4 linked regions of the Elephas maximus indicus genome follow. The protein of the gene in region 4 purifies or fractionates together with the protein of the main gene of each other region. This does not show direct contact. Links are inferred from orthologs where the notes say so. Each region holds a gene or a part of one and is shown on either strand. Other genes may lie near its edges.

Region 1 (7,721 bases), on a different chromosome or scaffold from region 4:
TTACTACAGCACAGAGCTTAGAACTATAAACACTCACTTCACTTTCCCCAATGAGGACAGAAGTATCACGACTTCAAGGGAAATGACACATTGAAATTACTGACTTACCTGGACAATCAAAAAGGATGTAGTCGTCCTCGACATGGCCCAGACAGTTCTCCAGCCAGTCAAAATTATTAGCAAAGTACTCCATGCAAAATACCAATCCTCCATTGGGACCGAACCGCAGGGAGTCATCCTCCATCACATCATCGACCTCGATCAGTTCCCGGATGTCTGCAAAGGCACGACAGGGCCCAGGATACCAAAACTTCCACAGAAAATTTCCTAACCTTACTAGTAAGAATTACCTACTATATAAAAAACTCACACGTATGAAATTACTTATGTACGTGGTGTCCACCGATACAAAATGAATGAAATACTAATAAATACCATCTCTCAGGTATACCGTTAAGTGAAAAATTCAAGCAAGGTGCAGAATTCTGTAAGTACGCCATCACTGGTGTTAAAAAAAAAAAAGATGAAAAATCACTACATATATATAACACACGTATGTATTTGATTGCATAAGACTTATCTGTGGAAGGACACACCAGAGACAGGTGATATTGGCTGCCTCAAGGGAGGGGAGCTGGGATACAGAGCTGGGAGGGAGGCTTTTTCCTATATACTCATTCTATTGTACCTTTTGCATTTTGAACCACGTGAATATGTACTACCTATTCCAAAAAAGTAAAACCAAACCAAACAACAACAACCAAAAAAACTTAGCCGGCATTAAAAATTTTTCTTCCCAACCACCATTCTTTAACATGATGACCCTACCAGAAGTGCTTAACCTTCCTGAGCCTCACTGTCTTATTTGTAAAATCGGGGAGAAAAATCATGTATCCTGAGGTGGAAGAATGAGGGTTATCTAAGAGAATGTACATAAACCACTGATCTTTGTAGCTGTTGTTAGCTATTGTCAAGTTGGCCCCCAACACATGGCGACCCCACGCACAATGGAACTAAATGCTGCCCGGTCCTGGGCCATCCCCATGACTGGTTGTGGATCAGACCATTGTCATCCACAGGGTTTTCACCGCCTGATTTTCGAAAGGAGATTGCCAGGCTTGTCTCCTAGTCCATCTTAGTCTAGAAGCTCTGCTGAAACCTGTTCAGCATCACAGCAACACAAAAGCCCTCACTAACAGACGGGTGGCAGCTATGCATGAGGTGCCCTGGCTGGGAACTGAGCTCAGGGCTCTTTCGTGGAAGGCGAGAATTCTACCATGGAACCACTGCCCCCAAGCCACCTATTAAGGAAAAAAAACCAAACCCTTTGCCAGTGGGTCGATTAGGTTGGTAGTCGATTACAAACTGTTTGTAGGAGCTTAAAAAATCCTGGTATATACGTGGTTCTCTCACCGTTATTAATTTTGACAAATCAGTACTTATAATTTTCTACCTCAGGTTTTTCCTTTGTGCTCAAACCCACAATCTCCACTTATGGAGAACTGGGCTTCATTTTTATACTATAGCAAAACCTGTGAGAATCAGAACTCGACAGGACTGCTTTGTTTTTCTGGGCCTCTCAAGTTTTCTGCCTTTGACAGGGTGCAGCTTACCACTTTTCTATTGCTCTCTGTTAGGAGAAAATATTTTAGTTTTCTTTCTCTGACAGGTTTCGGCCTTACACAGGTTCCAGCTTTTGCAGGTTTTACTGTAATAACATCTTCCTAGGCCCTCCCCCAGGGATAAAGAACTGACCCAAGTTGGGACAATAAAGTTGGTCTCCTAAAAGGATGAACCAAGGACACTAATGGGTCTGAGACACTTGGATCAGAGAGTGATGTGAATCTCAAGTTGAGGAAACCTTGTTGGGCCATATGCATCCCCAAAAAAGTAGGTCTACCAGTGGGATAAAAATACTGAGAGACAGAAAGCCTGCTCAAACATCTCCTCCTCAAGAGACATCATCCATGCCCACCCCACCTAAAGCAGCCTCCTGCAGTTATTCGCCATCATCCTGTTTGCAGTCCTTAATACAAATGTGCAGATGTTTATCACTTCATTTACTGCCTATCTCCCCCACGAAAAGGTTCATGAGGCAGGGATAGTATCGTCCTGTTCTCTGCTATAACTCTGGTGTCTAGTATAAAATAATTCAAAAAACATTTGAATGAATAAATTAAACAAAAAAAAAAGTTTTTTTTAAACCTCAAAAGCCTAGGCTGCTCACTTATAGTGTGATCAGCACTATACCAGATTCACTACAGCTAGACTAAGCATTTAAGGGAGAGAAGGGAAGGGTGATGCGGAAGGAGTTCACTCACTTTTAATTCTTTTCTCAAGGACCAAGACACAACATCAGGAGTGGCTGTCACTAAGCAACATTTTGCCTTTCCAGTTCACCATGTGTGCTAAAATCATATTTTGGAAACCAGGGAGCTGACTGTAATAACTAATTTCTCAACTTTCCTCCTGAACAGCGAGCACCTACTCTACCTGACCTCCCCGATTTTCCCTGGACTCACCGGCCATCACAGAGTAGTTGAAGTGCTCTGCTGCAGGATCTAAGTTCACGACTTGGACAGACCGATTGAGGGCTTCACAGTGCTGGACCATGGTGGCACAGTAGGTGCTCTGTAATGTCACAAGGCCAGGGGAATGAGAGAAGAGGCCAGGGACACCACTATCCCCTAGAAGAATTCTCCAACCCCTTGAGGCAGTGTCCACTAAGGCCAAAACTATGCTTGCGTCAACCAAGCTCTGAAAAACACTGCTACGGTTCTGGAGTTGGACAAAACTAGGTTCATATTCCAGCCGTCACTTACTAGCTCAGTGACCTTAGGCAAAGAACTTAACCTTCTGTACCTTTTTTTCCTTCTCTGTGAAGTAAAAACGCGACCAGCCTCAAAGAGTTGTTGTGGAAAATCAATGAGGCGTTTAGCGCAGTATCTGGGGGCGAAAGCATCCGACAAATACTAGCAATTGTTGCTACCACCCTTTCAAAAGAATGAAATAGAGCAGAAGAGAGTTACCCAGGGTTCCCACTACATACACCCGCTTCTCCATACCTCAGGACCCGAACCCCCAGCGCCCCACGAACTCCGACTTTTCTCTCCTTCAAATCCTCACCTTCCCGCTGCCTGCGGGGCCCATGACCAGTTGCGCATACCGAGGCATACCGGCCCTCGGGTTCCCAGCACCGTCTGCAACACCGCACCAAGAGTGGGACCACCACGCTCCGCTTCGCCTTCGCGCGACGCCCACGGAATTCCGGAAACACGACGTGCGGACCAATCACAACCCAAGTTCCTTCCGGCGTTTCCCGTTCTGCCACACGTCTTACTACGGAGAGGCTCGCGGGCCAAGCCCGTGTGAAACGCGTCCTGAAGAAATGCCTGAAGGGGTGGAGTAGAGCCTGGTGTTTGCGCGTGCGCAGAAGCAGTTGCGGAAGTCGACGGTTGAGTACAGGCGAAGCCTGGTTGCCTAGGTGATAACGGATAACGGATAACGCTCAGCATCCTTGCGCCGGATGCTTTGGCTCTTGGTTTACGAACGAATGTTTGGTCTAGATGGCGACACCCAAGATTTGCAAATTTGCTTAGGGTCTGGAATATCGAGGTGGAAGGCACCTCTTGTTTTAAGAAGAATGTATAGTTCCTTCCCGTGACGCATCCCCTGCACAGAAAAACGCAAACGTGCCAAGGCGCGATCAACTGCGAACCCTCGGCCCCTCCCCCAACGTAGCTCTGGGATCGCGATCAGCCCGCCCCGCTCTCCCGAAGCTCTTCGGGCAGTGTCCGGACCGCGTCGGAGGGGGCGAGACTCCGGCGTCCGCCTCTTCACCCCAATATCTCCCGGCCTGACTCACGAGTGCTGAGGCGAGGGAGGGGACGGCTGCTCCCGCACACGGCTCGCGCTCAGGGCACCGGAGACAAGATGCCAGGCCCGGGGCCAGTGTCCACCTGGACCGAGTGCAACTCTTCCGCAGAGCCTCCCGCAGCGGCCTGGACCGAGGGTGGCGGCGGCGGGTGAGGCTGCGGGGACCTTGGGGTTTGGAGGGCACCGCGAACAGCCCCGGGCTGTGGGGTTCCCGGCTGGAGGAGGGGTGGGAGCGAGCTGCTCCGCGAATGGACTGGTCCCCAGTGCACTGGAGTGAGAGAAGGGGAACGTTTGTTGGGGTCGGGATGGGAACATGGAGGCTGACTGGTTCACCGTGTAGGGGAAGGGCTTCTGAGGGAAGCCTCTAGGGAGGGTTTGCTGCAATGACTGAAGGCGGCGACTCCGACAGTCGCCCACGTGCACCTTTCCGCCCCGAGGGGGCGCTGAGAAACTTGCTGGATAAGTTGCCCTCAGGCTGGGCCGCAGTAGGTCGCTCTATTTAAAGGTTAGGGCAGCATAGGGAGAAAAAGTGCCCGGCCCCACATTCCGAGGGCTTCCGAGTCAATAAACCAGAGCCTTGTGTGTGTCAAACCGGAGTTCATAATCGCCAGGGAGACAGATGACTATTAATATTAGAGGCACCTTGATCTTGACATTTTCTTTACAATGAAGTGCCTTTCTTCGTTAACCCATTTCATTTTGGGCATGTTTTTACTGTTTCCTGGATGGTGAAGACAGCTGCTTAAGTCACTGCTGGAGGCCTCTGCTTTTATGCCTCCTTATCCCTTCCCACCATTATTCCCGTAAAAGCCAGAGCCATTGGCTTTTCGCTGCCCAATTCAGCCCATGGTCATGGCTGCGGCTGCAACCATTTTTTTTTTTTTAATATGTGGTGATTGAAGACTTCTTAAAGTTGGGACGGGTCGTGTGTTTCTTTCCGGTTCTTCACAGTGCTTGAGAAATTGCTGAATTCTAAATATATCAGGAAATCAATAAACCCTTGGTCATTGAGTAAATGAGAGGAAGAGAGAAGGAAGGGTGTTTTGACTTAATCTGAGAAAAGAAAAAAAGAACTTGTACAGAATTAGAGACATTCTGGACCTATTTATCAATTCCAGCATACCTCAATTACATATAACAAAGAATAGAATAGTCTTTTATTTATTGTGCTTTAAGTGAAAGTTTACAAATCAAGTCAGTCTCTCATACAAAAACTATACACACCTTGCTATGTAACCCTCGCTGCTCTCCCCCTAATGTGACAGCCCACTCCTCCTGTCCACCCTGTATTCCCAGCGTCCATTCAATCAGCTTGTCTCCCTCTGCCTTCTCATCTTGCCTCCAGACAGGAGCTGCCCACATAGAAGTTCACTCCTCGTCAGTATCATTTTCTGTCTTATAGTCCAGTCCAATCCCTGTCTGAAGAGTTGGCCTTGGGAATGGTCCCAGTCCTTGGGCTAACAGAAGGTCCGGGGGCCACCACCTCTGGGGTCTCTCCAGTCTCAGACCATTAAGTCTCGTCTTTTTATGAGAATTTGACGTCTGCATCCTACTGCTCTCCTGCTCCCTCAGAGACTCTTGGTTGTATTCCCTGTCAGGGCAGTCATCGGTTTTAGCTGGGTACCATCTAGTTCTTCTGGTATCAGGCTGATGTAGCCTCTGGTTTATGTGGCCCTTTCTGTCTCTTGGGCTAACAGTTACCTAGTGTCTTTGGTGTTCTTCATTCTCCTTTGCTCCAGGTAGGTTGAGACCAATTGATGCATCTTAGAAGGCCGCTTGCTAGTGTTTGAGTGTTTTTACTTACCAAAGTGGGATGCAGAACACTTTCTTAATACATTTTGTTATGCCGGCTGACCTAGACGTCCCCTGAAACCATGGTCCCCAGACCCCCTGCTACTCTGGTCTGGAGGCGTTTGGTTATATTCAGGAAACTTCTTTGCTTTTGGTTTAGTCCAGTTGTGCTGATCTCCCCTGTACTGTGTTGTCTTTCCCTTCACCTAAAATAGTTCTTGTCTACTATCTAATTAGTGAATACCCCTCTCCCTCCCTCCCCACCCTCGTAACCATCAAAGAATATTTTCTTTTGTGTTCATAGGATAGTCTTTTCAGTATCCAGATTACTTAAAACAGAGCAAGAAAATGCCTCGTGATTAGCACAGGAGCCCATACTACTTTACTGAGCGCACTGTAGGAAGTGGGAGGCTGTAAGAGTAAAACCAAAGTAAATCGTTTCTAGTATGGTAAAAGTCACAGATAACTCACTTTCAAAAAGCCTGGCGCTAGCAGAATTTAACAAGAATTACAAGAAAACTTTTACAAGACATTATGTCTGCTGGAAACATGGAAAGTAAAAGCTATATGGAATACTGCCCCTTTTTCATTTTAAATACCTCTTTATTGCCTATAAAGCTGTCTATCATATATCATTTACCCCCCCCCCTTTTTTTTAAACAGATCAGCAGGACATTCTTATTACCAGAATTCCAAAGGTACTGGTGAGTATTGCATATAAAGCCAATAATACCTATAAATAACCTGGTTCAGAGAAGCCAATATGCCTGTAACTACTTACACAATAGAATTTTAAAAATAGGCTTCATTAGCATAGTTGGTGAACTAAGTTTTTAAGATTTTCAAGGAACAATCCAGCAGGTTCTTTCTCTCCTGTCAATATCACATCAAGCATTTTTAAAAAGGTATTTCAAAATCAGCAATGAATTGAATTAGCTACTTTTATAACTGATGTTGGTTGAAAAGCACAGCACATAGCTTGGGGTTTAAACACAGATTAAAGGAAAAATTCTAAATATAACAGCTTTAAAGAATAAAAAATATTTCCCAATGCAGATATTTTCCTCTCACTTGAAGTAAATGATAGTGCTTTCAAAGTATTTACTCCTTCTCTGCTTGGAGTAAACAGAGTAAGACAGGCCCCCAAAGACCTCTTAGTAATTGCTTTTTTGTGGGTGGGGGGGGAGAAGGGAGATGGAATTTACTGATCTCAGAATATATATTTTTTAAAAAGCACAGTAGTTGTAGTTTTTAAATGTCTCATTTCAATCCAACTATATATAAACTTGGACTCACATTTGCCTTTCCTTGGAAAATTTACAGTCCTTAGAGTCCTTATAGAAAAAAATATGTGCATGCATATTGTATGCTACGTGTGTGTATGTGATTAGATAAAATGTATTCATTTTAAATGTGTTTAATTTTGGTCTCATTAATTTAGATTCCTACCTAATCAAAATTTTTACTGAATTAAGAGTTAAATGTAAAAAAGAAACAAAACACAAAATTAATTGTTTCTCATCCCAGACGTGGAGGAAAATGATTTCTCTAAAGAAGAAATTTTAACAATTATCAGTAAATGGAGTAAATCAATTCAATTATATGAAAGCAAAATTTCTAAACATCAAAATAAAAGTTTGTATACTGTAGGACCCTACTCACATTAAAAACATACATATATGCCTAGAAAAATCTCTGAAAGGTAACATTTCAAAAAGTTTTAAATGGTTACTAATGGATAGTGGGATAGTGTTTTTACTTTCTTTTATTATACACTGTACTTCGCAAATCTACAATGAAAGTTATTAGTTATAATCAGGAGAAAAAGGCTAGTACTTAACAAATGACTTATTGTTTTCCTTTGCATTTGGAATTAAGGCCTCACCCTATTTAATATAAACATTACAGTCAACTCTCAGAGGGGAAGCTGGGTATTATTTTGAATCCGATTTAACACAACTAAAATTTGACAGCCATCAAGACAATGAGCAAAACCCATTTTTCAACTAGATTTAGTAAGACTTTATAATCGCTCTAACAATAAACTAAAATCA
Region 2 (7,735 bases), on a different chromosome or scaffold from region 4:
CACTCAGATGCTTTTTGCTGAGCAACGTCCCTAGTGGCTCTCTAACTACTTTTCCTTAGCTTACAGGCTAATCAAAGGTGGAGCTCTGTAATGCAAGATGGTTCTAGGAAAAAAAGCATAAATTTCCTCTCTAAATTTCTGTTTTACTGTTAAATACTGATTAAGTATCCTGAAATTGAATATTCCCCCATCTGTCATTTAAAACCTTTTCAATTATTTGGCTAAAGCACTTAAGTGTTTTTTAACATGATTCCTCCACTCCAGCCAGGCTGTTGTTTTCCAAACACGTTTATTCCTAAGTACAAGCAGCTCTCACACAAAGCCCATGGAATTTTTTTTTTTTTTTTTTTTTAGTCTTAACTAACACTATGTTCTTTAACAAATGCTCTGTGATAGACCCATTCCAGTGGTACTTACACATTTGTTTTAAATTTATGTGGTGGGGGCACTGGGTTTTGGGCTCGCACTTCTAGCACTTCCATGTAATGTGGCTTCTTCTGGGCCCCACTACGAGGGCCTGTCAAGTTATCGGTACTTGTGTTTTCCCTTGAGCGGTGCTCCCCTGGGTCTGCGATTGTGATCCTTTGTAACCTATCAACAATCAGGTTGTCGGAGCTGCTGGAACTATCTTCTGCTTGTCTTGAAACAAGATGCTGTGGGAGACACTTGCTGGCTTCAGATAAGGAAGCGGCACTGGCTCCGCTGCTAGGAGCTGTGCGCCCGTTCACTATGCCCTCTGCTTCTGCAGTCTCTTCACTGCCTTTGTGAAAGAGATGTACAAGTCCCTGCTTTGGTGAAGCTGTTTTAGATGACTTGCTGTTATCTACAGAGGAGGAGCCAGGAACTGGTGGTGAAGTATGAAGTATCTGGTCAGAATTCTGAGCCTTAGCTGTGTCCACATCAACTCCTGCGGTCACTGTTTGCCTTACTGTACAGTCTAACCTAACAGGATGAAAGAGTTGACTTTTTCCTCTGAACTCTTCACGTTCTGCAACGGCCACTTTCAGTTTGGCAACAGAGTCTAAGATCTTTTTACCTTTGTCGGGCAATTTGCAAATGAATTTTCTGTCAAATGGAAAAGAACATGCATACATTAGAGCCATGTTTTCAAACTTCAGAGAAAATTAAAACGACAAAGCATTATCCTCAAAGGGAGAAAAGCTGGTTTTTAAATCAAAATCTGATTTTCAACTGCCCGGAAACGGGAATGAAACCAATTAAGGTAATCATTATCCAAACACCCCAATAATCAAGGCAGTACAAGAACAAGGAATATGCCTCATTTGTCTCATCCAATGAGAACTTAGTAAACACATTTAAGCATGTAATAATCATACATGACGTCCCAACAGATCAACAGTTTTGTAAGTATGGTCCTCAAGAGCCTCTTGGGGAGAAAGGGGAAAGGTCTGCGAGGTCAAAACTACTTTCATAAGAGTACTCAGATAGTACTGCCTTTCTCACGCACTTTTTCTCACATGGGTACAGTGGAGTTTCCCAGAGGATACCCTGATGTAGGGCACCACTGCTCTGGAGGCTCAATGGAATGTGTGCTTACATATCCTTGTTTTTAAAGATTTCTCAGTTGCAATTTCTAATAAATCAATAAATACTTATCGACATAACCCTCATAAACAAAAGCGTTTCTGGATCCTCAATAATTTTAAGTGTATAAAGGGGCCCTGAGACCAAAAAGTTGAGACAATTTGCTGCTACAGATAAAATTCCAACCTCGCCAAGTCAAGACACCCAAGTAACTATTTGCCCCCTCTGCTGGGTAGCAGAATTCCCTTTTCAGATTTCTTTTTCTATAGCCACACAATAAACGGGGACAGAAAGCTCACCAAAATTACATCTTAGGCCCTCTAGTCTTTCTCTGACACACAATCATTCCCATAGTGTCAACCATTAGCACCTCTCTGCAGCTCTGTGGTAGCTGCTATGTGTCCGCGTCCATGGTGCCCCTATTAGTGCATAGTAAAACTGCCCCATGGCATTTCCAAGGAGTGGCTGGTGGACTGGAGCTAGTGACCTTCTGGTCAGCTGCCAAGCTCTTAACTATTGTGCCACCAGAGCTCCTCTCTGCAGTTGAGATTCCTGTATTTTTTCCAGCCTTCTCTTCCCTAAGTTTAACAACCACTTCTCTAGCTTTTAAGTAGTCATAATTAGCCCGATGTCTATCCTGCCATATCCTAAACTTAGCAAAAGTCAATCTCTGGCCTATTCCCCTGCCCCAATTCAACCTCGAGCCTATTTCCCTCCCCAATTCCCCTAGTTTTGTTAATGGCTCTCGCAGCAGGCTGGGAACTTCAATCACCTCTGTCAACTACTTATTCAAATTACTCCGCAGCCACCTTCCTAGTTCACGTTCTTACGACCCCTTGTTGGAAACCCACCTAAAAATATCCTGTCTTCTGCCTCAGACTCCTTCAAACCCTCCTGCTACTAAATTAAACTCCTAAAAAAAAGTCACTTTTAATTTTTATTATATCACCCCTCTACTAAAACCCGTTAAATCCGAACGTGAGTCAAACTTCCTCGGCCTAATAAACCACTCTTTATATCCGACTCTTCCCATTTCCTACGGTTCCCACAAGAACAGGGTCTGCCAGGGAAACTGACATGGTGCTGAGCCGTCACCGTATTTGGCACTGTATGCGGGAGGGGGGCATATAAATGGGGCTGTGGCACACACCCTTCGTGGAACCGCCACAGTAGCTAAGGAAATTCAACCGGCTGAGCGTCCCAGAGCAGCCCAGTGGCTACGGCGGGCCAGCAGGCGAGCACCATCGAGACCCCGCGACGGCCAGCCACAGGCCGTCCATCGCCGCGGGGCTGACACGAAGCCGGCTCGGCAAGGTCACCTTCAGAGAAGGAACGGATGAGAGGAAAGGGAGGGGAGCTTCCCGGGGGGCCCGAACCGCGGGATCCCGGAGTTGGTTCGGCGGGACCCAAGCTTACTCGTTGCGCAAAAGTCTCTCCTGGCGCTTCAACATCTCCCGCAGCTCCGCCAAACTCCGCCGCCCCCAGTCCTCGGGAGCTAGGGGCTCGAAGCCGCGGGCCAGCGAGGACATTGTACGGGGGCTGCGGCTGGCGAGGCGGCGGGCACTCGGCTCCCTCGGCAGCCCCCGCCGCTAGCGCCGGATCCGCAGGCGGCGACGACTCTGGGGCGCGAGCGGGGGACGCCATTTTCCCGGAAGAACGGGGCTTCTTCGAGGCGAATCGAACTTTATTGACACAGCGGAAACAAACACAGACCGAGCGAAGGGGCCGCCGGGAGGAGCGGGAGAGGGCGGAAGTGACGGGGCTAACTTCAGCGGCCGGAAGGGCTTTTTTTCGCGCCTGTTTTTCGGGATTGATTCGACGGCGCTAGGTTCTAGGTTCTTTAGGGTCGTCTAGTCGTATTTTTTAATCTATTTCTTCGGAAAGTAGTTGAGTGCCGCCGTGACGTCACTACCCAGCGTATGTTAATGAACAAATCGCCACCGAAAGTAGAAGCCTGCAAGCCTCACAGGAGAAGCCCCTGCGCTTATGGAATTTACAGCATCGTGGAGGGGGGCAGAAAACCAAATAGTAACACAGTATGACAGCGAGATTGGGATGGACTTAGAGAAGGTATCCCTGAGCAATGAAATTTATGTTCAAACCTGGAGAAATGAAACACATAAGACAGTCATTACTGCTGGGTGGCGCAGACCGTTTGCGCTGGACTACTAAAGGTTGTTGGTTTGAACGCACTCAGCGGCACCACGGAGGAAAGGCCTGGCAGTCCGCTTTGTGCCATCGAGGTGATTGGGATTCGTAGCAATCCTATATGACACAGTAAAACTGTCCCATAGGACAGTTTCTTAAGCTGTAATCTTTACAGAGCAGACCACCAGGCCTTTTCTCCCAAGGAGGGCAAACTGCTGACCTTTCAGTTAGCACCCAGGCACTTAACCGTTGCACAACTAGGACTCCTTTCCATTACCCTGTGGAAGAGTTCTACTCTGTAACACCTGGGATCATCATGAGTCAACAGCAGCCTGTTTGGTTTTTTGGCCTACGGTGTGATTCCTCCTACCCTAAGGCTTAGCGAGGTCCTAGATGTTAACGTTAAAGTTGAAAGGTTCCCCAGTTATTGCTCTAGGCCATTTGGTGTCTGGCTTCTGCTGACTAGTTGCCATGACACTTGCAAGTCATCATAACAACCCAAAACACCCCACCATTCCCAAAGGTTCACAAGAGTTGAGGATGTCAGTAGGAGGTGTACAGCTGGCTGAGAATCTCTCTTTCACAACTTACTATTTTGCTGATGGAAATACAGAGGTACAAAACCTGATGTGAATATTCCCGGGGCACAGAACCAGTAAGTGATAGCCTCAGATTTCAAACCCAAATGCTCAGCTGCTCTTTCCAACATGCAACTCAGAAATGCTTTTCTTCGTTTCAGGCCTATTTCCAAATGTATAAAATTGGTAAACAAAACAAAACAAAACAAAATCGTTTTGTTTGTTTGAAGAGGAAGGCAATGTAAAAGGCATCACACCCAGCTCCCACTTTCTCTTTAGAGTTCAGCTCGTAGAGCTGTCTCCTGAAAGAAAGTGTAAGAAGCTTGCAAGCCTCATAGGAGATGTGGCTTTGGAGGCTTGAACATGCCCATGGGCTCCAGCACTCTTCCTGTTCTTTGATACGGAAAATTGAAGCTTTCTCAAAACCATGTCAGGCACCATTGCAGGGATTGCATCCAATGTCACAAAAGAATATGTGTATAAATTTTTGAATGAGAAACAAACTTGAGCTGTAAACTTCCACCTAAAGCCACAACAAAACTAAAAAAAAAAACTAATAAAAACCAAATATAAATGATAAAAAGGAAAAAAAATTGTGTAAGTTGCTATATAAACACAAAGCAGCTCCCCACCAACCAGACCGACAAACACTCTAGATAAAATCTGGAGCTACTCCCAGGAGTGTAGTTGCAGACTTTTCTGTATCTACCCCAATCTAGTCCATCTGATCAGATTAACTAATATATCAAAAGAAATTGCCTGCTTTCAAGAACTTCAGTAACCCGCTCCAAAAAAAAAAAAAAAAAAAAACCTAACCCGTTGCCATCGAGTTGATGTTAACTTACAGTGACCCTAAAAGGTCAGGGTAGAACTGCCCCTTAGGGTTTCCAAGGTGCAACTGGTGGATTTGAACTGTCAACCTTTTGGTTAGCAGCCAAGCTCTCAGCCACTGCGCCACCAGGGCTCCAGCTGTGGCTAAATAAGAAATAACTCAGATTAAAGTCCCCAAATGAGGTCCTAGTCACTCGGCAAGTTCCTCTAAGGCCTCCCTCATCCCTCCTCTAGGTTGCAGCTGGAGGTCTTTTCCCTGCCCCTGCCCCCCCCCCCCCCCGCCACAGTAGAGAACCCCCATACTCTGATCCTGGGCTACCGTTTCCATGGCAAGGATGCCTTTCTTTCAGGCCACAGAATTTTGTCCCCTGCCAGTTTCCCCTTGTAGAAGGCTATCCCTTCTCCCCTCGCCAATTATAAATCTTGGCTCAAAGCAGAAAAAGAAGGCCAGTGTGGAAGGCTGGAGCTAGATCCCATGGGGCTTTGTCGATCAAGATATGGAGTTGGGATTTTATTCTAAGCCATTTGTGGTAGGCAGCCTCTAGGATGGTTCCCAATGATTCCACCTTTATGTAATCCCTTCCCATTGAGTGTGGGCTGCCCTTACTCTCTTCTAACAAATAGAATACAGCAGAAGTCATGGGATATCACTTCCAACATTAGGTTATAAAAGATTTGAACAGACATTTCACCAAAGAAAATGTTCAGATGAAAAATAAGCACAATAATGTGTTCCACATTACTAACCATTAGGAAAATATGCATAAAAAATACAATGAGATACTACTGTACACTTATCAGAAAGACTGATGATGTCAGGTGTTGGCAAGGCTGTGAAGCAACTGAAACTCTTATACGTTGCTGGTGGAACTATAAAATGGTGCAACCACTTTGGAAAACAGTTTGGCAGTTTCTTAAAAAGTTAAACTTAACATCTACCATATGACCCAGTCACTCATTTGCTAGGTATTTATCCAGGAGAAATGAAAGCATATGTCCACACCAAGACTTGTACATAAATGTTCATAGTAGCTATATTTGGAATATCCAAAAAATATAAACAACCCAAATGTCTATCAGCTGGCGAATGGATAAACCAATTTCGGTCTATCCATACAATGGAAAACTATGGCACATGCACCAACTTTGATGAATCTCAAAATAATTATATTGAGTGAAATAAGTCAGAAAAATATGAGTGTATACTGTATGGTTCCATTTATATAAAATTATTTAAAATGAATACTAATCTACAGTGACAGAAAGCAGATTGGTGATCACCTCAGGATGTGGGGTGGCAGGGAGAAGTTGGGGGAGGGAGTCCAAGAGGACAGGAGGAAACTTTTGGGCAGGATGGATGTTCTCATTATCTTGATTGTGATGATGGTTATATGGGTATATATTTGATAAGTCAAATGAATCGACTTATCAAGTTATACACTTTAACTATGTACAGTGAAGAATGTGTCAGTTAAACTCCAAAAAGCTGTTAAACATCCCCCTCTAGCTTCCACCCTCTCTTCCATTTTCAGAGAGCAGATTCCAAAAGAATTGTCTACTCTCTTTGACTCCACTTCACCGCTCTTGCCAGAGCCATCAATCTCCTCCAGGGCCTCAAATCCAAGGAACAGGTTTTAGTCTTTATCTTCCTTCCTGCACCTGACTATGTTGACAACTTTCTCCTTCCTAAAACTCTCTCCTACCTTAAAGTCCATGGCACCAACTCTCCAGGCTTTTCAGCAAAGGAGTCTTTTGGCTCTTTGTCCTGGGGCTAGAATTATACTGAGTAGGCCCTTACTATCCAGTATCTCAAAGGCTTCTCAGGTTGAACATGCCCCAAATTGTACTCATTTATATTTCCCTCCCCAACCCACTCTTCCTGTTTTCATTCCTAGTCGCCCAACCTGGAAGTTACACATTCATGCTGGGCTGTTCTTTTTCCCTCAACCCAACAAGTCACTAAATCCTAGAGCCTAAATACCTTTCAGTTTCCAGTTGCCACAAATGGTTAAGCACTTGGCTACTAAATGAAAGTTGGCAGTTGGAAAATCTACCCAGAGGTGACTTGAAAGAAAGGCCTAGTGATTAACTTCTGAAAGATCACAGCCATTGAAAACATTATGAAGTGTAATTCTACTCTAAAACACATGGGGTCTCCATAAGTGAGAGCTAATTCAACAGCAACAGGTTTTGTTTTGTTTTTAATACCTTTCAATTCTTCCCCTTCTCCTCTCTACACTCTAATCTCTTCCACCCCTTTCAACTTCCCACCCCATATGCCCATCTGTCGGGGGACAGCCCCAGCAAGGAAAGACCCTCGCTGTGCGTCCTGGCAGATAATCCGAAGAACTGACACATAGCCCTTTCCAGATTCAGACGGTTATTCAGGGAAACTTACTTACACGAGCAAGCAGCTGCTTTCTCCAGTGGCGGCCGGCTGGAGTATTTTCCGCAACCACCTAGCAAGGGACCCACGCTTATATACCATTCCAGCTGGGACCAAGGCTCATCGTTTTCTCCCACGTCCTTGGGCAGTCAGTGTTCCCAGGGACTTCATGTCCAGGCCCAGATGTTTACCTTCTTGTTGCTAAGCCACTCTTCGGCCTTAGCCACTGTCCCAGTCATGCCCCTCC
Region 3 (7,365 bases), on a different chromosome or scaffold from region 4:
TCAAACAAGCAAATATAGTACTTTGACTCCAAGAGATGTCCTAGTAGCTACAAATGTCTAAGTATTATGCATTGTTTTGTAAATAAATAGATGGAAAATATAAATATCTGACCTATACTTCTCCTACTGTATCCAAAGCAGACATTGCTTATTGATTATGTTGCCCTTTCTATTGAGCCCCAACATCCTTTTCAACATTACTAATCAATCTGAGGTCTTGCTTGAAATGAAACACTTAGTATTCCAGCTAAGAGCTATGAATTATCTTGCTGATTCAAAAGGTAGCTGAAGGCTTCTGGGATGGCCAAGTAGAAACTTTTAGATCAAACCTCTTGTAGATACCCAGCCAAAAACCCAGTGCCGTCTAGTTGATTCTGACTTATAGCGACCCTACAGGACAGAGTAGAACTGCCCCATAGAGTTTCCAAAGAGCACCTGGTAGATTCGAACTGCTGACCCTTTGGTTAGCAGCCATAGCACTTAACCACTATGTCACCAGGGTTTCCCCTTTTGTAGGTAACAACTATAAATTCTGGATAAGATACAAAAGCAACTAGCTGAAGGCACCGGAGAGAGAACAAAATCAGACAGAAACTAGGGGAGAGTCAACTCTGCCTAACCTCTGGGTGACTCCTGATCCACGTATGCATGAGGCAGACTCTAAGCAGCCCAGCCAGGGTTAAAAGAACTGACCTGAAGTTTCAGCTGTTGCCATCAAGATAGAATTTTGCAGTCCAGCCACCTTAAAAGCCTGAATAACAAAAATTCAATACTTACCAGAAGAACAAAATACAATCCAAACTTTCTATAACATATCATTGGTAATGACCAGGATATACTTCAAAATTATTTAAAATACAATAAAACAGGAAAGCATGATACATTTTAAAAAAGAAAAGATAATCAATAGAGACCAACTCCAGTGCAGACCTAGATATCAGAATTAAAAAAAAAAAAAAAAAAGATTAGCAGGCAATAATTTTAAAGAAGCTATTATAGCCATGGAGCCCTGGTGGCACAGTGGTTAAGAGCTTGGCTGCTAATGAAAAAGTCAGCAGTTTGAACCCACCGCTCTTTCTTGGAAACCCTATGGTTTCTACTCTGTCCTGTAGGGCCTCCATGAGTCAGAATCAACTTGACAGCAATGGGTTATTATAACTATGCTCAAGTATGTAAGGAATAGGCTCATAATGAATGAAAATATAGAAAACCTTAGCAGAGAAACAGAAACTATAAAAAAGCATCAAATGAAATTTAAGAACTGAAAAATATAGTATCTGAAATTAAAAATCACTAAATGTACTTAATAGCATAAAGGAGATGGAAGAGGAAAGACTCAATGAACCAGAAGTAGATCAACAGAAATGATCCAAACTGAAGAACAGATTTTTTAAAAATTCACAGACTCAGGATCTTTGGGCAATACAAAAAGGTCTAGCATACATGTAATTGGAGTCCCAGAAAGAGAGAGAACTAATGCTTCAGAAAAGTATTTGAATAAATAATGGCTGCTAAGTTCCCAATTGTGTAAGATAAATTTGCATATACCAAAACCTTGACAAACACTAAGGATTAATATAAAAAAACAAAATTAAATAAATAAATAAAAACACCTAGACATATCCTACATAGTCAAACTGCCAAAAATCAAAGACAAAGGCAAAGAAAAAATCTTGGAAGCAGGCAAAGAAAAAAGATACTTTGCAGAGTAGGAACAATGATTTTAAATGCCACTGAAACAATGGAGGCCAGAAACAATGAAGGCCAGAACACAGTGGGTCAACATCTTCAAATGCTTAAAGAAAAAAACCTACCAACCAGAATTTTATATCCAGCAATAACATCCTTGATGAATGAAGATGAAATGAGACACCTTCAGCAGAACTAATTTGTCACGAGTAGACCTGCACTACATGAAAGACTAAAGGACATTCTTCGAAACAAAGGGAAATAAAACTAGATGGCTACTCGGTTATTCAGGAAAGCATAAAACATCTCAGATGGTAAATGGTGTAAATATAAAATACCATTTTCTTCAGCTTAATTTATTTAAACTACGTGATTGTTTAAAGAAAAAACGTGGCATTGTATTGTGGAGTTCAGAGTGTATATAAAGGAAATACCTATTACAGCTACAACATAAAGGAGGAGGTAGAGAGGGTAAATACACCAAACCAGTAGCAAGACTCCTATGTTTTACATGAAGTGGTACAATATTAACTCCCAGGAGTCTGGGAAAAGTAAAGAATATATATTTTAATCCTTAAAGCAACCACTAAAAATATAATGCAAAGATGTGTTGCTAAAAAGCCAATAACCTGATTCCGACTCATAGTGACCCTATAGGGCAGGGTGGAACTGCCCCATAGTATTTCCAAGGAGCACCTGGTGGGTTCAAACTGCTGACCTTTTGGTTAGCAGGTGTAGCACTTAACCACGGCGCCACCAGGGCTCCAAAAAGCGAATAGATAGATTAAAATGGAATTTTAAAATATGAATGCAAAAGAAAGCAAAAGGAGGAGCAGAGGAATAAAAAAAAAAAGGGGGGGAACAAAAAGAAAACAAATAGTAAAATGGCATACCTGGAAGTGGAGTGGGCTGTCTGAGGTCATTCACCCCTTAACTATCTACTGAGTGCCTACTGAACGCCAGCCTCTGTGCTAGGCTTTGACAATACTATGGTGAATGAAACAAAAATGATTCCTGCCTTCATCAGTCCTACCAGTGTCCAAACTCTGTTCCTCTTCTCCTCTTCTACTTCTATCATTATTTACACCCTGGACAGAAGACTAGCAAATTCTTTTTATAAGCCAGTCTGAAATGTCTTAAATTTCCAAGTTCAAAAACCAAACCTTTTCTAATGTTGGGCCTGAATACCTCTATCTGAACAGAAAAGGGTTTCTTCTTCTTTTAGCCTCTCTGGAGTGAAATGTGACACAAGAAAATCTGTCAAACCTCAGAACAGCTCAGCAAGAACCTGGACACATGCCTAGTGACCCAGAGTTACCTTACCCTCTCCTGAAGTAGAGTTGAGGAAGAAAGGGCAGTCAGCTGCCAAGCTGTCCACCCCACTTCTAACAGAGCTCACATCCATTGCCATTCCTTGTCCTGGCATCCCAGCCAGAAGTCCTGCCTGAAGTTTTTGCCCAAGAACCTGGCACCAAATGGGAGGTGCCTAGCACTGAAGTAACCGAGAATCTCTTGTTACAAGTCCAATTGCTCCAGCCTGACCCTCAACATACAAAAAAGCAATCCAGGCTTGGTTGACTAGTACTACAAGCTCATTGGCATCGAGTTGATTGCAACTCATAGCGACCCTATAGGACAGGGCAGAACTGCCCTATAGGGTTTCCAAGGCTGTGATCTTTACAGAAGCAGACTGCCACAGTTTTCTCCCTCAGAGCCGCTGATGGGTTTGAACTGCTGACCTTTCAGTTAGCAGCCGAGTGCTTAACCACTATACGACCTGAGCACCTTAGTACTTCATCAACAAAATGAAAATAACAAAATTTGGTTAGAATGGCTGCCACACTTCTTTTTTTCCATACAGTCGCTTGCCCCTCTGCACTAGCTTTCGCTTCAGCTTTGTATATGTGTACTTACAAATCCACCAGCTCTGAAAACCTCTTAGCAAGGTGATAATTTCCAGCTCCCTTATTGCCCTATCTGGGTTATTGCCCTTCCTCCAGACTGAAATGTCTTTGTTTCTCTCTCCCACCCCCTGCCCTCTGAGAATTTCTACCTCTCAGAAGTTTAAACCTGTTTTCCTTCCCTAGAGTACCGTTTTTTTTCAGACAGCTGAATTCTTAGAGATAATGATAAGACTCAGGGAAATAAGTGCATGGTTTCCTCCTCCCTGGCGCCGGTTAAGGCGATTGGTGCTTCGGGACGTTCTGAAGCTCTTTGAAAACAACAGGCTAGTCAGATTCCAAAGATTTACCTTCTGAAGGCTCAGCATGTCTGGGCAATGGTTGCATAATTTGGATGGAGTCATCACTGGATGGAGCAGAGTTGGCTCAGGCGGGGAGTACTCGTTGCTCTTTTTAAACTCCATGGCACCAGGGATGAAGTCACCTTTCTTCTTTTAAAACCAACTGACTTGCCCCGTGAGTCCCTGTCAATTCTGTTAGAACTTGGTGCTTTCTCCACTGCTGCACACCTAGGACCTCCTCTCAGGTAAGAAAACTCTTCTTTAGTGGGTTTCTATTAAAAAAAAAAAAAAAAAAAAATCCAGGGAAGGGGGATTTGAGGGGAACTTTGGAGGGCATTTGTTTGTAGAGGTGGGGTTAAGGTTGAAGGACACTCGATGAAATGAAAAGAATGGCTGCTTTCCAGGCAGCTGGTCTCCACCTGGTGGGTGGGGCAGCCCTGGGCTGGGTAAGCAGAAACCCCACTCAGCCCTGAGCTGAGACGGTGGACTCTCAGAGTGGTCAAGGACATCTAATCCAGGTTTGGTTTCTCTTAGTTGTTTAATGAACTGAGCACGTTGGTGAAGCAGCTGCAAGTGGTCTTCTTTGGGCTGGGGCCATTTGTACCCTCTTTTGCTTTCCTAATGTTTGGCTTTGTGTTTTGGATAGAATAACCCTCAGAAGGTTCTGATAACAGTTGATGTGCAGAAAAGCAGCGGCTCTCTGAAGAGCCCTCATTTGCTCATTAGCTGGCTTGAATGCTTCCCTTCTTCCTCAAGAGGGTAGGGGAGACAAAGGAGCCCTGGCTTCCTGTCCTGACATGCAAGTACCTTGTGTAAACAATGGCTGTGTGGCTGCAGGTGAGGCAGAAATGTACAAAAACATCTTAGTGCCTGCCCATATGAGTTCTTCTAAGAAAACGGACGTGAAATCTTGTTTTATGTGTGCACAGTCCACTGAAATCTCCCTCTGCTTTCTCTGAGTTATACAAGTCACTGTCACTGACTGAATCGTAGAGTCTTACTTTAGCTTTCAAATGCTCAGTAGAGACATTTTGGTTATGACACAGGCGCCTGCAGGGTGATGAATGGCAATTGGAGAGAGCTGAGCCCCTACGAAGTAGAAACATTTGAGAGTTGCAGATCCCCTTCCTTGATTGACACAGAGCCCTGCCACAAATAGCATTGGCTGCAGTCATCTATAACCTATGAAGGGAGCAAAGGATCTCATTTAGATAAAAGATGCTTTGTTTTCAAAAGGAGGGTGAGAATGGTTATACAACTTGAAGAATGTAATTAATGTCTGAATTCTACATGAAGAAATTACTGAATTGGTATATGTTTAGCTGTACATATTTCCAATAACTATCAGAAATAAAAATTAAAAAAAAAAAAAGATGTTTGGTTTTAAATGCAGTTGCATACTGGCTACCAGTTCTTGGTTACTCATTGACCTCAAACTCAATCATGCTCAAAATCCATACTCACCTGAAATCAGCTCCCCTTCTATGCTCCTAGCTCAGTGAAAAGCACCTGGTTGTCTGTGACAGATTTCTGGACTTCTCCTTTGACCCTTCCCTCTTCCTCACATTCCACATCTGGTTTGGCAAGTATCCAGCAGGTTCCAACTTAATATCTCTCAACTGCACCCAGCTCTCTCCACCTCCTTGGCCATTATCCTTGTTTAAGACCTTATCATCTTCTACCAGGAACACTGAAAGCTTTCATCTAGGCTTCGTCTCTCCAGTCTTACCTTCCTGGCAGCAATCAGAGTGATGGTTCCAAGATGATTGGTCAGCACCTGCACAATCCAATCAATCACTAATCTGTCGATTCTGTCTTCTTACTATGCCTCAACATTTCTGACATCTCTCTGTTCTACCTCTATTACCTTGGCTCAGCCCACAAGCACCCTTTGCCTGAGTTATTGCAGTTGCCTCCTAGCTGGTCTTCCTGCCACCAGGATCGTGCTCATCCTAGTATAAGACATCTTAAGCTTCTTGTCTTCCCAGGCTTCTGAGGGCATTTTTACAAGAACTTGGAACATGGGTTTTTGGAAGCATTTTCATTTTTATGACTCTTGTGGATTCTTCAAGGAAGTGGGGAGAGAAAAGGGGAGGAGTTAGGGGATATGTATTGCAGTGGGAAGAAAGCACGGAGAATGCAAGAAGCTCCCTTGGAGCCACACACGTTTGCATTTGAATCATAGCTGCTCCACTTCCTACTGTGGCTTTGGCCAAGTTTGTGAACCTTCTTGAGACTCATTTCCTCAACTATGAAATGGAAATAATAATACCTACTTTTTTTTTTACTTCACTGAGTAAATATAAGGGTTAATTGAACAATTATGGAAGACTCTGAACCAAGCAATTAAGAAGTTTTGGTTTCTTTTTTTCTTTCTTTCCCTTTTAAAGCTTATAATTTCTAATCACAATGTCTTGAAAGTATTTTTACATATGTGTGTGTATAATGATCTGTATTTAACATGGTGGAAAGAAGGCATGGCAAAGAAATATACGAGAACTCGCTTAAGGAACTCACCATCTACTTAAAGAGATAAATCAAACCTAAACAGCCCAAAAGCATCAATAAAACAAGCAATCTGTGATTGCCATGTATACGTTCCCAACTGAGTACATAAGCAGGAAAGGCCTGAGTAAGCAGGCATGTGAATACCTGCAGAGTGTAAATAATGCTATATCAAGCAAATTTATATTTAGGCTTCTTGGGGATTTAAAAATCCTTGGTCTCTCTGATGTTCCCAGTTTAGAGTGATTCTAGAACGTATAGATGTATGTTTAAAAGTGACCTTATTCATTCAGCAAGCATTTGTTGAGTACCTGCTCTGTGCTGGGTCTTAAAATATACACTTCTTTGTTACTCCTCCCATGGAGAGGTGAACCTGAGCTAACTTTAGGGACTTGCATGCAATGGAATGAGAAGGAAGTGATGTTTTGGGACATCCAAAGCTGGGTTCTAAGAAGTTTTGCAGCTTCCTCGTCGATTTCTTGTTTCACTCACTCTGGGGAAAGTCAACCACCATGTAAACTGGCTCTCTGGGAATAAAAAAGAGAGAGAGTGCTGAAGTATAGTGTTTGCCAATTTCCATAGTGTAAATAATCCCATCTCGGCCAGTTGCAAGCTATACCGAATGCAGAGTTGAGAAGAGGTATGCAATCAGTTCTTAAAAGGGCCACAAGCTGGTCCCAGAGCACCACTGCCAATTTTTCTGAAACTACCATGTTGAGAGACAGCCCAAGCTAGCTATGTGAAGAAAGTCCGTGGAGAAAAACCCAAACAGCCTCCAGTTGTTCCAGCCATTCAAGCTCAATCTCCAAACATGTGAGGAAAGAAGTCTTTAAATGTCTCCAAACCCAGCTAGCCACTATCTGAGTGCAACTTCCTGAGAGACCCCACGTGAGAACTGTTCAGCTGAGCCCAGTAAACTCACAGAGCTT
Region 4 (8,106 bases):
TTTGCTTTATGTCACAAGAACACATGCTCTACTAACATTGGGATTTTTGTGTTTCTAGAGCCTAGAACAAAAAGCAAAGATGTCACTTTGAAGACTAAGGTGTGCATGACCTAAACCTTGGTATTTTCAATCACCTCATATGCATGTGAAAGCTGGACAATGAATAAGGAAGACCAAAGAAGAACTGACACCTTGAAATTATGGTGCTGGTGAAGAATACTGAAAATACCATGGACTACCAGAAGAATGAATAAATCTGTCTTGGAAGTACAGCCAGAATGCTCCTTAGAAGGAAGAATGGCGAAACTTTGTCTCATGTACTTTTGACATGTCATCAGGAGGAATCAGTCAGTGGAGAAGGACACCATCCTTGATAAAGTACAGGGTCAGGGACAAAGAGGAAGACCCTCAACAAAATGGATTGTCACAGTGGCTTCAACAATAGGCTCAAGCGTAACAATTGTGGCGATGGTGCAGGACCAGGCAGTGTTTCCTTCGGTTGTACATGGGGTTGCTGTGAGCTGGAAGTGATCCAAGACACCTTACAACAACAATAAGAGAGTCTAGAACAGCATCTGGCACATAGTAGAAGTGTCAGATTTAGCAAATAAAAATATAAGATGTCCAACTAAATTTAAATTTCAGATAAACAATGAATACTTTTTAAGTATAAATATGTTGTTGTTGTTGTGTGCCAAAGAGTTGATTCCAACTCATAGCAATCCCATAGGACAGAGTAGAACTGCCTCGTAGAGTTTCCTAGGCAGTAATCTTTATTGGAGCAGATTGCCAGGTCTTGTCTCCTACAGAGTTCCTAGGTGGGTTATAACTGCCAACCATTCATTTAGCAGCCTAGCACTTAATCATTGTGCCACCAGAGCTCCTTAGTATAAATATATCCCATGCAGTATTTCCCCCACTTGTCTGTCAGTTTGTCATACTGTGGGGGCTTGTGTGTTGCTGTGATGCTGGGAAGTATGCCACCGGTATTCAAATACCAGCAGAGCTAACCATGGCAAACAGGTTTTGGCTGAACTTCCACACTAAGACAGACTAGGAAGAAGGACCTGACAGTCTACCTCCGAAAAGATTTAGCCAGTAAAAACCTTATGACTAGCAGTGGAACACTGTCTGATATAGTGCCAGAAGACGAGCCCCTCAGGATGGAAGGTGCTCAAAAGAGGACTGGGGAAGAGCTACCTCCTCAAAGTAGAGTGAACCTTAACGACATGGATGGAGTCAAGCTTTCAGTACCCTCATTTGCTGATATGGCATGACTTAAAATGAGAAGAAACAGCTGCAAACATCCATTAATAATCAGAACGTGGAATGTATGAAGTATGAATCTAGGAAAATTGGAAGTCATCAAAAATGAAATGGAACACATAAACATTGATATACTAGGCTTTAGTGAGCTGAAATGGACTGGTATTGGCCATTTTGAATCCAACAATCATATGGTCTACTATGCTGGGAACCACAACTTGAAGAGGAATGGCGTTGCATTCATTGTCAAAAAGAACAACTCGAGATCTATTCTGAAGTACAATGCTGTCAGTGATAAGATAATATCCATACACCTATAAGGAAGACCAGTTAATAAAACTATTATTCAAATTTACGCACCAACCACTAAGGCTAAATGTGAAGACACTTAAGATTTTTACCAACTTCTGCAGTCTGAAATTGATCAAACATGCAGTCAAGATGCATCAATAATTACTGCATATTGGTATGCAAAATTGGAAACAAAGAAGGATCAGTAGTTGGAAAATATGGTCTTGGTGATAGACACGATGCTAGAGATCCCATTATAGAATTTTGCAAGACCAACGACTTCTTCATTGCAAATACTTTTTTTCACCAACATAAATGGTGACTATACATGTGAACTTTGCCAGATGGGATACACAGGGATCAAATTGACTTCATCTGTCGGAAGAGACAATGGAAAAGCTCAAAATTATCAGTCAGAAAAAGGCCAGGTGCTGACTGGCGGTGGAACAGACCATCAATTGCTCATATAAAGTTCAAGTCGAAACTGAAGAAAATTAGAACAAGTTGATGAAAACCAAAGTATGACCTTGGGTATATCCCACCTGAATCTAGAGACCATCTCAAGAATAGATCTGACACATTGAAAACTAATGACCGAAGACCAGATGAGTTGTGGAACGACATCAAGGACATTACATATGAAGAAAGCGAGAGACTGTCATTAAAAAGACAGGAAAGAAAGAAAAGACCAAAAGGTATGTCAGAAGAGACTCTGAAATCTGCTCTTGAATGCCAAGTAGCTAAAGCAAAAGGAAGAAATGATGAAGTAAAAGAGTTTAAATAAGATTTCGAAGTGCGGCTCGAGAAGACAAAGTATGATAACAACATGTTCAAAGACCTGGAGATGGAAAACAAGAAGAGAAGAACATGCTCTGCATTTCTCAAGCTGAAAGAACTGAATAAAAAATTCAAGCCTTGAATTGAAATATTGAAGGATTCTATGGTGGAAATGGAAGACCTGGTTGTGTAGTGGTTAAGTGCTACGGCTGCTAACCAAAAGGTCGGCAGTTCAAATCCACCAGGCGCTCCTTGGAAACTCTGTGGGGCAGCTCTACTCTGTCCTATAGGGTCACTATGAGTTGGAATCGACTCGACGGCAATGGGTTTGGTTTTTTTTTTTATGATGGGAATATTAAACAACTCAGGAAGCATCAAAAGACGATGGAAGGAATACAGAGTCACTATTCCAAAAAGAATTGGTTGACGTTCAACCATTACAGGAGGTACCATACGAGCAGGAACCAATGGTACTGAAGAAAGAAATCTAAGCTGCACTGAAGGCATTGGTGAAAAACAAGCCTCCAGGAATTGGCAGAATACCAACTGAGATGTTTCAACAAATGGATGCAGTGCTGGAAGTACTCACTTGTCTATGCCAATAAATTTGGAAGACATCTACTGACTGGAAAAGATCTATATTTATGCCTATTCCCAGGAAAGGTGATCCCACTGAATTATCAAACAATATTATTTATATCACACACAAGTAAAATTTTGCTGAAGATCATTCAAAAGCAGCTGGAGCAGTATATTGACAGGGAACTGCCAGAAATTCAAGCTGGATTCAGAAGAGGATGTGAAACCAGGGATATCATTGCTGATCAGGTCAGATGGATCCTGGCTGAAAGCAGAGAATACCAGAAAGATATTTACCTGTGTTTTATTGACTATGCAAAGGCATTTAACTCTGTGGATCATAACAAATTATGGATAACATTGCAGAGAATGGGAATTCCAGAACACTTAATTGTACTTATGAGGAACCTGTACATAGTTCAAGAGGCAGCCGTTTGAATAGAACAAAGAAATACCATGTGGTTTAAAATCAGGAAAGGTGTGCATGAAGGTTGTATCCTGTCACCATACCTCTTCAATCTGTATGCTGAGCAAATAATCTGAAAAGCTGGACTATATGAAGAAGAACGGGGCATCAGGATTAGAGGAAGACTCATTAACAACATGCTGATGCAGATGAACAACCTTGCTTGTTCAAAGTGAAGAGAACTTGAAGTATTTACTGATGAAGATCAAAGACCACAGTCTTCAGTATGGATTACACCTCAACATAAAGAAAGCAAAAATCCTTACAGCTGGACCAATAACCAATATCATGATAAATTGGGAACAGACTGAAGTTGTCGGAGATTTCATTCTACTTGGATCCACAATCAACACCCATGGAAGCAGCAGTCAAGAAGTCAAAGGAAGCACTGCACTGGGCAACTCTGCTGCAAGAGACCTCTTTTAAGTGTTTAAAAACAAAGACGTCAACTTGAAGACTAAGGTGTTGCCTAACCCAAGCCATGGTGTTTTCCATCGCCTCCTGTGCATGTGAAAGCTTGACGATGAATAAAGAAGATCGAAGAAGAACTGACGCCTTTGAATTGTGGTGCTGGAGAAGAATATTGAACATACCATGGACCACCAAAAGAATGAACAGATCTGCCTTGGAGAATGTACAACCAGAATGCTCCTTAGAAGCAAAGATGGCGAGGCTACCTCTTACATACTCTGGACATGTTATCAGGTGGGATCAGTCCCTGCAGGAGGACATCATGCTTGGTAAAATAGAAGGTCCTTGGAAAAGAGGAAGACCCTCAAGGAGATGGACTGACACTGTGGCTCCAACAATGGGCTGAAGCATAACAACGATTGTGAGGATGGGACAGGACCCGGCAGTGTTTCGTTCTGTTGTACACAGGGTCATTATGAGTCAGAACCAACTCCATGGCACCTAACAACAGCAACAACATGAAATATCCGGGACATACTTAAACATCAGATGGGACATACACACAAAAAAGTGGTGTTTATAGTGGTGGAGGACATACTTAAATATCAGATGCGACATATACAAAAAAGTGATGTTTATAGTGGTGGATTATTCAATAGGCAAGGTATGCAGGGTTTCACTGGTAGATGTGGTAGAGTCGGTTTCACTACATGATAAAATTGTTCAGTACAGAGTAGCAAGCATAAGTAAGTTTGTGCTTACTTTGCTTACTGGGTCATTCACTCCTGTCAGGGAGTGTGCATTTGTAAAGAAGCTTTGATTCTGCAGGAAGGTGTTGTGGTGTTGGGAAACAGACAGATGCTAGCCATACCTAGAAGCAGAATCTTTTATGTGGTGAAAACATGTGAGATTTGTTCTCTACTGATGATCTGGTAAGCAAAGTAAGTACCATGCTTACCTTGCCTATCGGATAATCTGCCCTGATGTAACTGGGCATCCTGTATTTTTCTGGCAACCTTACTTCATTGAATCTTTTCCTCTCACCTGTGCAGGGGGGTAATGATAATACCCGCCTCAACAGGATTGATGGGAACGGTAAAGAGACACCTGGCGCGCAGTGAACCCTCAATTCATGACTGCTAGGGGAGCAGCCTGCCGATGGAAAACCCTCACACTTTGAAAAATACTAACAATGAGAAAGTCTTTCCAAGACCAAAAACACCGCTGCCAAGCTTCGGCTGCCCACACCTGCGAGCCCGGCCAGCCTCTTCCGAGTCAGGTGACCGCGCGCTCTCACGTGACCCTGCCCGAGTGAGGGCGGTGGGAGGCGGAAGTGGGAGAGGAGTTGGAAACCGCTTCTGTGGTCACGGCAGGTAGTGAGCGCGGGCGTGGGCAACGCAACCGGCTGGCGGGCGGCGCGGAGCGGGCGGGGGGCGACAAGCGGCACGGGGTGGACCGGGGGCGGCGCGGCTCGGGCGCCGGGGGGCGGTGGCTTCCTGTGGGAGGGGCCTGGCGCGGCGGTTCCGGCCTCCGAGGAGGGGTGTCCCGGCTCCTGCCCGAGTCGGTGGGCGCGCCGCGGGCCGCGCGCGGGGGTTTCTCGGTGGAGGGCGCTAAGGCAGCCAGGGGTGCAGCGGGGAGCAGGTCATTCCGAAAGATGAGGACCTTAGGTGCCCAGGGATGGAAAGGAGTGACCTTTGTGGAGGGATCAGGAGAGGAGGAAGGGGTGCTTTGCAACTGGGCTAGAACAGGGTGCGTGAGAATGACTTGGAGGGAAAGAGGGAGAACTGGATGAAGGTGCTTCCTGAACCCCGTCTGAGAGTCTCTTTCTTTCCTTCCTCTTTGGAAATGTTTGTTACCAGAGACTTTGATTCCGGTTCCGTTCAGTTTATAAACTTAAGGAGGCATCATACAATCTTGATCATTTTGCTGTCCTCACCAGCCCTTTAGTCCTGCTTGGTAGGGTTTCCACGTCTTGGGAACCTAGCCTTTCAGATCATCTTTCTTTGAGATTTTCCCAGATCAGGTCATGGTCAAGGCTTTAAAAAAAAAAAAAAAAAGTATGGGCACTTTGGCGGTAAAATGGCTTTTAGTCTAAACTGTTGACCGCAACCCAGCCCAGCATTATCTCAGCAACATAGTGTCTGCTGAAACCTGGGACGGAGGAGTGTTCACCTGTACTGCTTTATGACTTTTCATTTTTCTTAGGTCTAAATTATTCAGCCTCCCTTACCACGTGAGTCCTTATCTTGACAAACTGTAACTAGGTAGGGGTGACTGAGAGGTCTGTGTTGTGTTTGCGAGAACTCTGGCCTGAATCATGATTTTGAGGTTAAATATCTGCGTTAAAGCTCTTCATCCCTCCTCTTTCTCTTCACGTTTACCGAAATTTGCAAAAGGGAAATGAACTTCATGGTGCAGTGTAACTGCAGGGAATGTTCAAACTGGACCTTCACAGAAACAGGAATCATTTTGGGTTACAAGTTGGGAAAAAAGTACTTACGTTTATGAGTCCAAGTTTTTGGAGTATTTGACGAACATATTTAAATTAATTTTTGTAGCAGTCCTGTGAGTTAGGTTGGAAAGGTGTTATTCCCATTTCACAATGAACACAGGCCTAAGAGAGATGAATTGATTGTTAACAATTTATTGCTCGCTCTTGTTTGCTGTCCCTTTCTCCCTTTTAACCAGTTGTCATTGAGTGGATTAGACTCATGGCCACCCCATGTGTTGCAGAGTAGAACAGCTCTCCACAGTGTTTTTAAGCTGTGACCTTTCTGAAACAGATCACCAGGCTTTTGTTCTGAGATGCCTCTCCATGGGTTCAAACCGCCAACCTTTCAGTTAGTAGTCAAGAGCTTAACCATTTGCTATCCAGGGATTCCTCCTTTCTCCCTACTAGCCTACAGATACCTCAAGGATAGGGTTCATATCTTATTTGGCTTATTTGGCTGCTAGCCTTGGGTCTGGCATGTTGTAGGCACTTGGCAAATGTTTAGAGAATAAATTAATTTCTAGACGTCACACACTGGTAAGTGGCAGACAAGGGATTTGCACTCACATCGTCTATCCTTGCTCTTATCTGATAGGCTTGCTATTTTCTATTATTGATCTATATGAAAATGATAGGCATGGGAGAAAGGCTTCATTTGGCTTCTCAGTCTCTTCCACTACTTTCCCATTTACAAAGAGCTTATACAAACATCTCATTTAATCGTCACCAGGATCCTGTGAAGGTAAATATTGTCCCCGCTTGACAGATGAAGAAGCCGAGACTTAGAGATGTTTTTGCTTTAGGTCCCAGAGCTAGTGAATGACTAAGCAGGGAGTCATGCCCAGGTCATTTTATCCCCAGAGTTGTTCTTTTTCATTTATGAACATAATAAAACATTGTTTGAAAATATTTTTTTCAAGTATAAAAATACGTGGCATTTTAAGGAAAAACACTAATAATAAAGGTCACAGCAAAAATCATGCTTATAGAACGTGAATAATGGAGGTTTAGAAAACCCTGTACTGTGTCATAAAACCAAACCAGACCTGTTGCTGTTGAGTCGATTCCGACTCATAAAACCCAGAAAAACCTTATTCCGACTCAGAGCAACCCTATATATAGGATAGAGTAGAACTGCCCCGTAGGGTTTCCAAGGAGTGAATGGTGAATTTGAACTGCCGACCTTTTGGTTAGCAGCTGAATGCTTAACCACTGCGCCACCAGGGCTCCGTACTATGCCACAGTTGGCTCTTATTTCAGGGAAAATGTTGTTTTCATTCAATGACTATAAGTGCCGACTCTATGCCAGGCATTTCTTTGGAGTTGCGTTGTCCAGTATGGTGGGCACTAGCCATATGTGGCTGTCCAGTGTTTCAGATGTGCTGTAAGTATAAAATTTTGAGTATTTAGTATAAAAAAAATAACACATCTTTTTGGTATTTTTGTATTATTTGCATTACAATATGTATAGTGTAGATGTTAACATTTTGGATTTATTGGGTTAAAGGTAGATCTTAGACAATGAAAAGTTACATTTGTGGCTCCCTTTATATTTCTGTTGGACAGTGTTCTAGACGCAGGGACTACAGCAGTACACAAGAGAGGCAAAAATCCCTGCCCTCGTGGATCTTAAATTTTAGGGGGGAAAGGCAGAAGCAAAACAAAGAAGTAAATATATATTGTGAGAAAGCAGACAAGAGGAATGTGGCGTGTTGGGTGGGGTTGCAGTTTTAAATAGGGCATGTAGAAAAGCCTCCCTGGGAAGGTGATGGCTGAGTAAAGATCTGAAAGTAGTGAGGGAAGGAGTCATGTGGCTAAGTGGACT

The links.
Region 1: the proteins of WWP2 (region 4) and GPN3 purify together in Homo sapiens (affinity purification with mass spectrometry; 3 studies listed by BioGRID and IntAct, with this or other methods). This does not show direct contact. The link is inferred for Elephas maximus indicus from reciprocal best matches to the Homo sapiens genes WWP2 and GPN3.
Region 2: the proteins of WWP2 (region 4) and POLR2M purify together in Homo sapiens (affinity purification with mass spectrometry, with the first as the bait; 3 studies listed by BioGRID). This does not show direct contact. The link is inferred for Elephas maximus indicus from reciprocal best matches to the Homo sapiens genes WWP2 and POLR2M.
Region 3: the proteins of WWP2 (region 4) and AMOTL1 purify together in Homo sapiens (affinity purification with mass spectrometry; 3 studies listed by BioGRID and IntAct, counting the BioPlex papers as one, with this or other methods). This does not show direct contact. The link is inferred for Elephas maximus indicus from reciprocal best matches to the Homo sapiens genes WWP2 and AMOTL1.

The regions. Positions count from the first base shown.
Region 1 is NC_064840.1:9,049,447-9,057,167, forward strand, and holds the start of GPN3 (GPN-loop GTPase 3), read right to left. Parts: upstream 3,337-7,721; 5' UTR 3,175-3,336; coding exon 3,127-3,174; intron 2,632-3,126; coding exon 2,523-2,631; intron 277-2,522; coding exon 109-276; intron 1-108. Other genes in the region: protein FAM216A, read left to right, coding at 3,934-4,025, 6,331-6,371. UniProt on the Homo sapiens protein: Small GTPase required for proper localization of RNA polymerase II (RNAPII). May act at an RNAP assembly step prior to nuclear import.
Region 2 is NC_064831.1:47,823,690-47,831,424, reverse strand, and holds the start of POLR2M (protein GRINL1A), read right to left. Parts: upstream 3,220-7,735; 5' UTR 3,075-3,219; coding exon 2,962-3,074; intron 1,066-2,961; coding exon 418-1,065; intron 1-417.
Region 3 is NC_064825.1:26,223,686-26,231,050, reverse strand, and holds the start of AMOTL1 (angiomotin-like protein 1), read left to right. Parts: upstream 1-4,092; 5' UTR 4,093-4,176; intron 4,177-7,365. UniProt on the Homo sapiens protein: Inhibits the Wnt/beta-catenin signaling pathway, probably by recruiting CTNNB1 to recycling endosomes and hence preventing its translocation to the nucleus.
Region 4 is NC_064839.1:36,064,954-36,073,059, forward strand, and holds the start of WWP2 (NEDD4-like E3 ubiquitin-protein ligase WWP2), read left to right. Parts: upstream 1-5,086; 5' UTR 5,087-5,163; intron 5,164-8,106. UniProt on the Homo sapiens protein: E3 ubiquitin-protein ligase which accepts ubiquitin from an E2 ubiquitin-conjugating enzyme in the form of a thioester and then directly transfers the ubiquitin to targeted substrates.